Xenopus tropicalis: one gene and its partners. The protein of the gene in region 1 purifies or fractionates together with the protein of each later gene. This does not show direct contact. Links are inferred from orthologs where the notes say so. Each region holds a gene or a part of one and is shown on either strand. Other genes may lie near its edges.

The links.
Region 2: the proteins of cep76 (region 1) and cep290 purify together in Homo sapiens (co-immunoprecipitation; 5 studies listed by BioGRID and IntAct, with this or other methods). This does not show direct contact. The link is inferred for Xenopus tropicalis from reciprocal best matches to the Homo sapiens genes CEP76 and CEP290.
Region 3: the proteins of cep76 (region 1) and cep97 purify together in Homo sapiens (co-immunoprecipitation; 4 studies listed by BioGRID and IntAct, with this or other methods). This does not show direct contact. The link is inferred for Xenopus tropicalis from reciprocal best matches to the Homo sapiens genes CEP76 and CEP97.

Annotation. Positions count from the first base shown.
Region 1 is NC_030682.2:103,543,320-103,546,684, forward strand, and holds part of cep76 (centrosomal protein of 76 kDa), read left to right. Parts: intron 1-1,530; coding exon 1,531-1,864; intron 1,865-2,752; coding exon 2,753-2,970; intron 2,971-3,365. UniProt on the Homo sapiens protein: Centrosomal protein involved in regulation of centriole duplication. Required to limit centriole duplication to once per cell cycle by preventing centriole reduplication.
Region 2 is NC_030679.2:54,382,005-54,385,666, forward strand, and holds part of cep290 (centrosomal protein of 290 kDa), read right to left. Parts: intron 3,389-3,662; coding exon 3,245-3,388; intron 1,349-3,244; coding exon 1,295-1,348; intron 1-1,294. UniProt on the Homo sapiens protein: Involved in early and late steps in cilia formation. Its association with CCP110 is required for inhibition of primary cilia formation by CCP110.
Region 3 is NC_030678.2:101,955,209-101,958,071, reverse strand, and holds part of cep97 (centrosomal protein of 97 kDa), read right to left. Parts: intron 2,682-2,863; coding exon 2,515-2,681; intron 2,131-2,514; coding exon 1,966-2,130; intron 1,685-1,965; coding exon 1,563-1,684; intron 1,356-1,562; coding exon 665-1,355; intron 263-664; coding exon 187-262; intron 1-186. UniProt on the Homo sapiens protein: Acts as a key negative regulator of ciliogenesis in collaboration with CCP110 by capping the mother centriole thereby preventing cilia formation. Required for recruitment of CCP110 to the centrosome.

The DNA of each region.
Region 1 (3,365 bases):
CAGCTGCTATCTTAAAAAAACGGAGGGAACTTCTAGGGCTGTTTACTCGCATACCTCCCCGACTGTCCTGATTTTCACTGGACAGTCCTGATTTTAACAGCTCAGTCTGCAGTCCTGGATTCTTACTGAAAAGTCCCTCGCTTCCCTTTGATTTTCTGCACTGAATACTAAAAAAAGATACAATGTTTCTCAAACTTAATTAAAAAACTAGCTTTTGACAGAGAGCCCAGAAAAATTAACAAGCTGCACTTAGATACATAATTACTAAGACTTGCCATTTAAAGCGCAATTTCACCTTCATTAGCAAAACTAATAACACGCAAAACAAAACCCCCTGAAATGTGTTGAAACTTTAACCTGACAAATTTTGTAAAATGGGAGTGGTATTTAGGGGGTGTTGTCAAAAAAAATGTTGCCACACTGTGCGCCATTTCGTTTTGTCCCTCTTAACATTTTTCAAATGTGGTATGTACTCAGGTATGCTAAAGCTGAAGAATAGATAGTGTTCTAGCTTGCATTATTGTGACTAATCTGTAATACAAGTGACCTGCGATAAATTTGCCTAAAAGAACACCCCCAAATCCCTCTGAATTGTGTGCAAGGGTAGCATGTACAGTACTTCCTGAAAAATGCTCACGCAGACAACATATTTCCTTTTTTTTTTTTTTTAAATAACACAAAACAATGGCACATTAACAAAAAATTTTGAATTTCAGCAAAAATAAAAGTATCGGAGATATTTGTAGATTATGCATTTGTTGGGTATTTGAAATTTTTCTTTGCCTGTACTACTGTAATGACGGGTAAAAAATGTATGTAAAAGGGATCCTGTTATAATATCCGTACAGGTATGGGACCTGATATACAGAATGCTCGGGACCAGGGGTTTTCCAGATAAGGGGTCTTTCCGTAATTTGGATCTCCATAACTTAAGTCTGCTAAAAATCATTTAAATATTGAATAAACCCATTAGGTTTGTTTTGCCTCCAAGAAGGATTAATTATATCTTAGCTAGGAATAAGTACTCTGTACTGCTTTATAATTATAGAGAAAATGGAAATAATTTTTAAAAATTAGAATTATTTGCTTATAATTGAGTCTATAGGAGATGGCCTTTCCGTAATTCGGAACTTAATGGATAAAGTGTTTTTGAATAAGGGATCCCATACCTGTAGTGCTGTTATTTTGTATTGGAAATGTTTGATTAACTTTAGTTTGCTTTGCCTCATCTACGTATTTCTGTCCTTTCAGTTCCCATGGCTAAATAAGCCTAAAGCATCCTGGCACTGTTGTTAGAAAAGGTCTGTCCGATAATAGGGGTCATTTAGTTACTGCATCACTGTTGTGTTCCTGAAAATTTCTCCACAGCCAGTTGCACAAAAAATCTCGTTAACAGCACTTGCTTCAAAAAGCACAGCATAGTTACACTTGGCGCCTCTTGGTGCTACCTGCCTTAAGAAATGTTGTATATTATGTAATTGTATTTTATTTTGTAGGATCTTAACTATGCTTGCATTTTTAATCTTACAGATATGTGCATAAGCCAATTAATCCAGATGACCCTCCCATGGTTGAACAGCCTAAACCACTCTATCCATATAAAACTATCGGATGCGTCTTCAATCACAAGCGTTTTTTAGCCAATAGCCAGCCTTTAGATGCTGTTGAAGTCTGTGTTTTTGACCTGCATGATGAATCCAGGTGGAAACCCATGAGTGAGGAAGCTATTAAATCTGTCTGCTCTCCAGGATCGATTGCTTCACTTCCTCCATTTCCCCCACTCTGCGGCTCTTTGCTTGATGCTGCCACAGAAAGCAATGAAATTGAGCTGCAGCTCAGAGTGCTTGTGTTGGAGCACAGAAAGGTTGGTTTCTGCACAACTATGTATCACAGAGTAAGGCTGTATTATACATCTGGCCAGTTTGTTGGGTATACTGTAATATAAAGATGAACCCAAATATACAAAACTTTATTGCTTTGTTAAAGGACTGTGGTTGGCCTGGGCTGGTACAGGAGCACAAAACCTAATTTACAACATTTCTAGCTTACGTCTTTAGTTAGGCTTTAGTTCTCCTTTAAGATGATACAGGTATGCGACCTGTTGTTTCAGAATGCTCGGGACCTGGGGTTTTCCGGATAAGGGATCTTTCCGTAATTTGGATCTCCACAATTTAAGTCTGCTAAAAATCATTTAAATAATTAATAAACCCAATAGGCTTGTTTTGCCTCCAGTAAGGAATAATTATATCTTAGTTGGGATCAAGTACAAGGTACTGTTTTATTATTACAGAGAAAAAGGTAAATTATAATTATTTACTTATAATGAAGTCTATGGGAGATGGCCTTTCCGTAATTCAGAACTTTCTGGATAATGGGTTTCCGGATAAGGGATCCAATACCTGTATATTTGTAAAATGCAGAAAAAAAGATGCACTTTTATTGTTCTACATTATTGTATAGCTTCTTTATTTTGCTTCTAAAGAAACCTGTTATCGTTCAATTAAAAAAACTGTAAGCCGGGATTAATTATGTTGGGAATAATGAAAATCATATCAATAGATCAGACAGCTCATAAAAGCCAAGTAGACAGTCATGAATGCCTAACCTTCACTGAAAGCATTCACGGCTTGTGTGTATGTTTGCCTTTACTTTGAAATTGTGTTGTGAGCTAAGTTTCTTGGCTGCTATATATGTATTCAGTTCAGTGCAAGGTAAGAAATGTTCACTCCTGTATAATTGTCCCTAAATGCAGGATCTTGGTCTTACGACTGTTTGGGATGACCAGCTTTCCTACCTCCTGTCTCCTGCATTAGCTTCATATGAGATTGAACGTACAACAGGAATATCGGCTGGCAATGAGGAATTTCAGGATTGCATAAGAAGAGCAGTTCCAGATGGCCATACATTCAAAGGATTCCCTATCCACTTTGTACACAGAAATGCAAGACGAGCTTTCGCTACATGCCTACGGTAAGCAGTGATATTTCCTTTTTTTTTTTTATCTGTTGCGGCTCTACTAGTCATATTCTATACACCTACCTATAAAATTGGTATTTTCATCCCTTTCAAGCAGGGCTGCCATCATAAATCATGGGGCCCCTTACAACAAAATTTTTCTGGGCTCCCACTCCCTGCCCCCCCCCCAGTGACCCCTCCCATCAGTACAAAGGACACACACATTGGTAGCCAGGGGCCCCCTAAAACATTGGTAGCCAGGGGTTATGTTTTGCATTGGTGCCAGGGCAGGGACCCCCTAAAACATTGCTAGCCAGCCCAGGGACCCCTAAAACATTGCTGGTGCTCCCCCAGTGTCTTCATACTATGGCCTGCTCCCCCCAGCGTCGTCCTGCTTCCTCCGGCTTCCC
Region 2 (3,662 bases), on another chromosome or scaffold:
GGATTTGCAGCCTTTATGGACATCATTTTCACCTAAAATTGTCATGTCTCACCTGATCTGATGATGGATATATCTCTTGATAACTGTGTTTACTAACTATATCCATTGACTGAGCAATACAGGTACAAGTATAGGATCCCTTATCTGGAAACCCATTATCCAGAAAGTTCCAAATTATGGAAAGGCCATCTCCCATAGACTCCATTATAAGCAAATAATTCTGATTATTTCCTTTTTCTCAGTAATAATTAAACAGTACCTTGTACTTGATCCCAACTAAGATATAATTAATCCGTATTGGAGGCAAAACAATCCTGTTGGGTTTATTCAATATTTAAATGATTTTTAGCAGACTTATGGTATGGAGATCCAAATTACGGAAAGAATTCTTATCCGGAAAGCCCCAGGTCGCGAGCATTCTGGATAACAGGTCCCATAACTGTATTTCAATATTATTTTTGTACCTCAACAGAATGTCTGACTCTGAGACTCAGACACGAAAACAGTGCATACTAACTGGCTGCCACTTTATCAACTACAATGCTCGACATTTACGTGGTAAAATATAAAATATAAGCTCATTTTGCAGTGTTTATGCCCTACGAGGGCTTATTTATTAAGGACAACCACAGCTGCGATCATCACCTGTGAATAAGGGGTGGGGCTGGGAGTAAGCCTTCTGTCCAGCAAGGAGAAGAAGAAACAGTACAGCTGGAAAGCGGAAAAAAAAAATTGCCAGGGAGACTGCAAGTGAAATATTTATTAAATTGGTCTGAGTTCAACTAACAGTGGTTGAGGCACTTTGGGGAAAAAAAAACCTTGCTATGAACACAGGATATTTTTTCTTTTTGGTAAATACTGATTTATTTTAAACATTTCGGTCACATTCCATTCTTGTTTGCAATCAATACATTTAACAGAATCCTGCCTTTTCTGCACCAGTGTTATGCTCTGTTATATGATTCCACGTTTGAACGTTATCAGTGTAATTTAACAGAAGGTGTAAAGTTTGTACTGGTCTCGTTGCTCATAGCTACCAATAAGCAAGTAGCATTTAGCTGTTGGAAAACAAACATTATTTGGAGAAAAATATAGATAAGAATCATACAGAAACCCATTATCCAAAAAACAATGAAATGAAGCAGTCATTTCCAAAAAATTTCTATTAAAAATGAACAATAATGAATTTGATTATTTTTTTCAAACCACTTAAGTACTATCTAAGCAAACAATAATATCCTGCTGGGTTTTCAACAAACAAGCACACACAAATTAAGAATTAATCAGCACCTACCTCTCTTCTTAACTTGCTGTTTTCATTATCAGTTTCTTCATTTCGGAGGGCAAGCTAAAAGAGTGAATAATGAAATAGCTGGATTTATAACTTTCATTTTAACTTTTTATTTTCATTGTTACGCAGACCCTACTTGCATCAAAATGCACTCTTTACAATTCCATATAGTTGTGCTTAGTGCTGCTCAGTCCTCCCTGCTTTCCATTCTGAATCAGGCACTGCTGCACCCAGTCACGCAGGGAGAACACTGGAGCTACTGCCACCTTCTGACCAGGCAGTAGCTCCAGGGTTCCCTTCATACCCTGCACCAATAGAAGGAGCACACTTGCTCCCAAAGAATTGGGCATGCGTTACTCACACCGTACATCGGAAATTATGCCAAGCGAACTTCCATGCAATTGCATTTTATCTCTGAGAAAATGCATGTGCAGTTGTGCTAATTTTGCCAGATCAAAAGCAACTGCACCAGGGCAATTCCCGCTTGCTGCTGCAATGACGCTTGCAGGAAAAAATCCACACATTACCTATTGTTAATAGTCATTCTCTGATAACATTTGACTTGCAAATATGGTTATATTCTGGCACAAAAATTGTTACATGCATCTCAGTAATAACAGCACTAAAGCATTATTGTTACACAAATATATTTTTTCCTCAAAAGCATTTTAGAAATTACACCACAGTAAAGTTGCAATTGGCTTACACATTAACCATGCTCTTTATGGTCTTTCAAATGCAAACGTAAGGGCATATTTATTGTAATGTGTAAGCCAACATCACCGGTGATATTGCCCATAGCAACCAATTAGCAATTACATTTAAGTTAGAAAACAAAAGCAAAGATCTGATTGCTTGCTATGGGTCACATCACCAGTGATGTTGGCTTACACACTAGAATAAATATGCCCCAAAATGTGATTTGCTCCTTCACTGCTGATCAGTTTCTTTTTTGTTTAAATGTACATTTTGTGCTCTTTTCCTTAGGGGAATTTCCAGGTGGTGATATTTAGAAAACGATGCCTTCAGAACAGATGATTAACCAACCGACTGGTTTATATCATATAAAGAGGCCTATTATAGAATCTTACCAAACTGGAATATACCTTGAACCACTATTTTGTGATGATCTTTGTGCTTCTTTAGAGTTCGCCTTATCAGAAATAATGGTGCTCTAACTGTAACTGTACAGGAAGAAGTGTAGGAGCAAAACACAGGACTTTGTTCATTAATTGGCTCATAAGAATGAACATGTATGTGTACCCATGGTTTATCTGTGTGCACCCTGAATAGTACGGACCATGAGGTTGGTCCTTAATACTTAAAATAGGATTAACCAATAGCACATACTACTAAATTAGTATATTTTTATTAAAATGGTTTATTTAGCTGAAGCAGAGGTTTACATATAAGCTGTTGTATGCAATATATTTTTATAGAGCCCTTCAATGTTAGGGTGTATAGAATGTCAAGTTCCACACCAGAAATCAAATTGGATTGGCATGCAACTGATGCAGTAATTGTGAGCGAGAAAGATTCATTCTAAAGGCTCTGGCAATAGAAAAATGGAATAAAATGTAACAGTTAGTAAAAATTAGTGGCACAATGAACACACTGTCAAAAGGGAAGTTTTCCTGGGTTCTGATCTTTTAAAGGAACAGTAACACTAAAAAATCACATCACAGGACATCACAGTAATAATAAAAGTACCAGACTGAGATAGTAGTAATGTGGGAACTACATCTCACTGTCAAATGGGATCTGCTTTGGTATGAAAACATTACAGTTAGACAGGAACAATACAAAACTTTTTGTCTCCAAGCTAAAAAAACATTTACAAAAATGTACTTTATTTTTGTTCACACGACCTAGTATCTTCCAATAACAACACTGTTTAGCTTCACAAAATATACCGACACAAATGAAAGGAAGGTGGTCATTGATATAACTTACTTGTTCATTAACTTGTTTCTCCCTTTCCAACTCATTTGCCATATCTTTGCATTCTCTCTCACTCTGACGCAACTGCTCCTCCAGCTGTCTAATTTCTTCACGCAAAAAACGTGAATCTCTGCTACCAGAGGATAGCTGTGCCACCTGTTTTAAAAACAAGAAAAAATACATTCTAATATTTGAACTTTGCCTTTCAAATTGAACAACTTTAAACTGAGGTTATCTATATCCTAAAAATCTGTAGAAGAGAAATGTATCCTATATAATGTAAACTAGCAAGGTTAAGCTTTTGAGGAGTTACAAGTTTGTAATGTCACTTTTTAGACTAATAAAATGTATTATTTACAAATATGCATAATCTTATATGCAGTGTGATTTTTTACTCTCTGTATATTTGCATTAATTGCCTTTGCATGTA
Region 3 (2,863 bases), on another chromosome or scaffold:
AAATAGATAAAAAAAAAAAAAAAATCTTTTTACTCCAAACTACCTAACTGGAAAGCTTTGTCTTATCACACAGAGCGTGATTATGCAGTGTGATGAGATCTTACACTAGTCACACTGGAAAATATTATATTTTGCAATATAATGTACGTAAATTGTTAAAGAGTAAAAAAGTAATTCAAAACATACCTGTTCCCAAAGGTACCTCACGGCTTCCCCTTGCACAAGTCTTTGTATTCGCTCCTCTTCTTTCTCTTTTTTTAGCCTACAGCACAGACACAAGGGACCAGATTTATAAGCTACTTATTTACTGTCATTGGAAAAACAATTTTGACTAAAAAAACAATGCTAAAGAATAAAGAATTTTCTTCAGTAACTGCATTGGAAGACCATGTTGCTACAAGTGTTTTCCCTTTCCACTGCAAATAATAAAACTGGCAAGGAGGTCCGTTGTAATTGATATCAAAACTACTACTATCCTGGATGTCAAAAACTGAAGTCATTCTGGCTAACTGTGTCACTGCTATAGAGCACATAGCTGTTACTAGAAATTTGTTTGGGCTATGCTTTTTGAGAAAATTCTTTTTTTTTTTTGTTCAAAGCAGGTCAGTGTAGTAAATAATAAAAATGGTATTTACACATTAACCAATAACAAGTAGAAACTCACCTAATGACTTCTTCTGTTAAGAATACAATGTGCTCCTGCATTCTGCTCAGTCGGATTTCATAGCATACATCTTTAACTTTTGGGTTATACTTTCTTGCATAAAAACCTCTCCAACAGGATTGAATTTTTGTAGCAGCTGTGTTTATTTTATTTAGGTGGCTTGCATCTTGGTCCAGAACAGAAGACTGTTTACTATTCATTATTATACTGTGACATGTTTGGCCATTTGAAATCTGCGTACTCTCAACACTAATGGAAGTCTCGCAATGAATTATATTTTCTGCTAAATTCTCATCTTGGATAACTGGATAGACACATGATTGATCATCTTGCATTGCTGTCTGATCTTGAGTTAGCTTTGACATTTCTGTAGTTGCAGTGGGGGGCATTTCAGTGCTGTCTTTGTTAAACTCTATCACAGTTTCATTGAGCAGTAGGTCAGATTTTATGGCTGGAACCCTAAACTCTTCTGTTGGTGAAACAGGGGAAAGGCCTGGAGCAACAGGCATAAAGGTAGATTCTGAGGAAAGAAGACTGCAGTTGAGTTTGTCTTCATCTGTCTGGATGTCTTCCATATAAAGACTACTGTAATGCGATGGCCCTGGGGAACTGGAACAGATATTTCTAACAGCGTAGGAGTGATCCTCAGAACTGTTTGACCATAGCCAATTATTTACTTGTACTGTGGGTTCTAAAAGAAAACAAAAACAAGTTCTGTTTTTTTATTCTGTTCTATAAAACCATACATATGCCTTTTTAATACATTAAAAAGGGATTGTTCATCCAATACTCATTGTGAAAACAGCTTGCTAAAAGATTTATACGCATGGGAAAAAATGTGGGGACTATTGACAAAAGGCATATTACAGTTAGGATTCAAATTGAAACAGTTACCTACCATTCTGTAATACATGTGTTGGGCTTTGCTGTTCAGGTGAGAGTGGTAGCCTTTTATTGGGAGTAGATGAGGTGAGGTAGCCTTCACTGCGTGTTTGATGCAGTAATTGCTTCTGGTGCAATCTAGCCAAGAAAAGAACAGCATTAGCAATTGATCTACAATTATCTTGTCACCCAGAAAACTCAGTGTATTAGTTTAAAACTAACTGAATTATCAAAATCTAAATAACAATTTAAAGTATCTAAAAAAAATTATTACTGACTACAAACCATAGAGCACATTAACAAAACAATTTCAAACATGTAGTATATTTATGTAACTACAGCAAATACAGGATTATTTATATACGGCAGATTTACCTGCAAGGTTTATATTTAATATGTACACAGTACATAACATTTACCTCTGTTTATTCAAAATTTTTTCCAACTTTGCATCCTCTTCTGTCTGAAGACCATGTGCTGAAGTTAAAGGACACACAGTTGCCAGGTACTGGACTAGTGGAATGTGCTGGCCAAGCCTATACGATCTCCCTTTGCCTTGGCTGTATAGCCATTCTGCTTTCAAGCTAGCAATATATAGAATATTTTTAATGATAAAAGTAAAAGCTTTAATTAGTTCAGTATGGTAAAAGTACTTTATACATGAATTTCTCTTTGTCCTCATTCAGTCTTATGGCATGCAGCAATTCCAATAAACCAGTCAGACATGCCATTCAGACTGAATCGCTAACAGTATGGGCCTTCAAAAAGAGATGTTAAGCCAATCCCACTATTATGTAAGTTTATACAAATTAATTTTTTTAGCTTAGGTCCCTGTAATATCTGTTTTTATGCAGTGGTGTATGCAGCCCTGCGTCATAAAACTAAGAACAAAAAAAGCATATAAAGTATAATTGAAGCAAATATTATGCAACCCACTCTTTATTCAGAAAAAAGTCAGTATTATTTACCTTTCTTTTTGGGAGACAACATATCCATCTAAAACTTTGAGATTCAAGCACCAGCTGACAATAAAAGGTCTGTAGTCAAACCCTGGTATAGATGGTGTGGCCATCACACATGGATTGTTCATGATTGATAACTGTTCCAAATCGGCAAGGCCAGCAAGGAATGCCACCTGGTAAACAATAAACCATTTATATGAATATACAATGTACTATGATTTAAATGCATAACAAAATATGCAAAATAGAACACAAATAATGTTTTGTATCCTGTAGAATAAAGTAATTTTTATCTAGATAACTGGTCAACTGCCACAAATCATAAAATTTACAATCTAGATAGTAAAGTACCAGG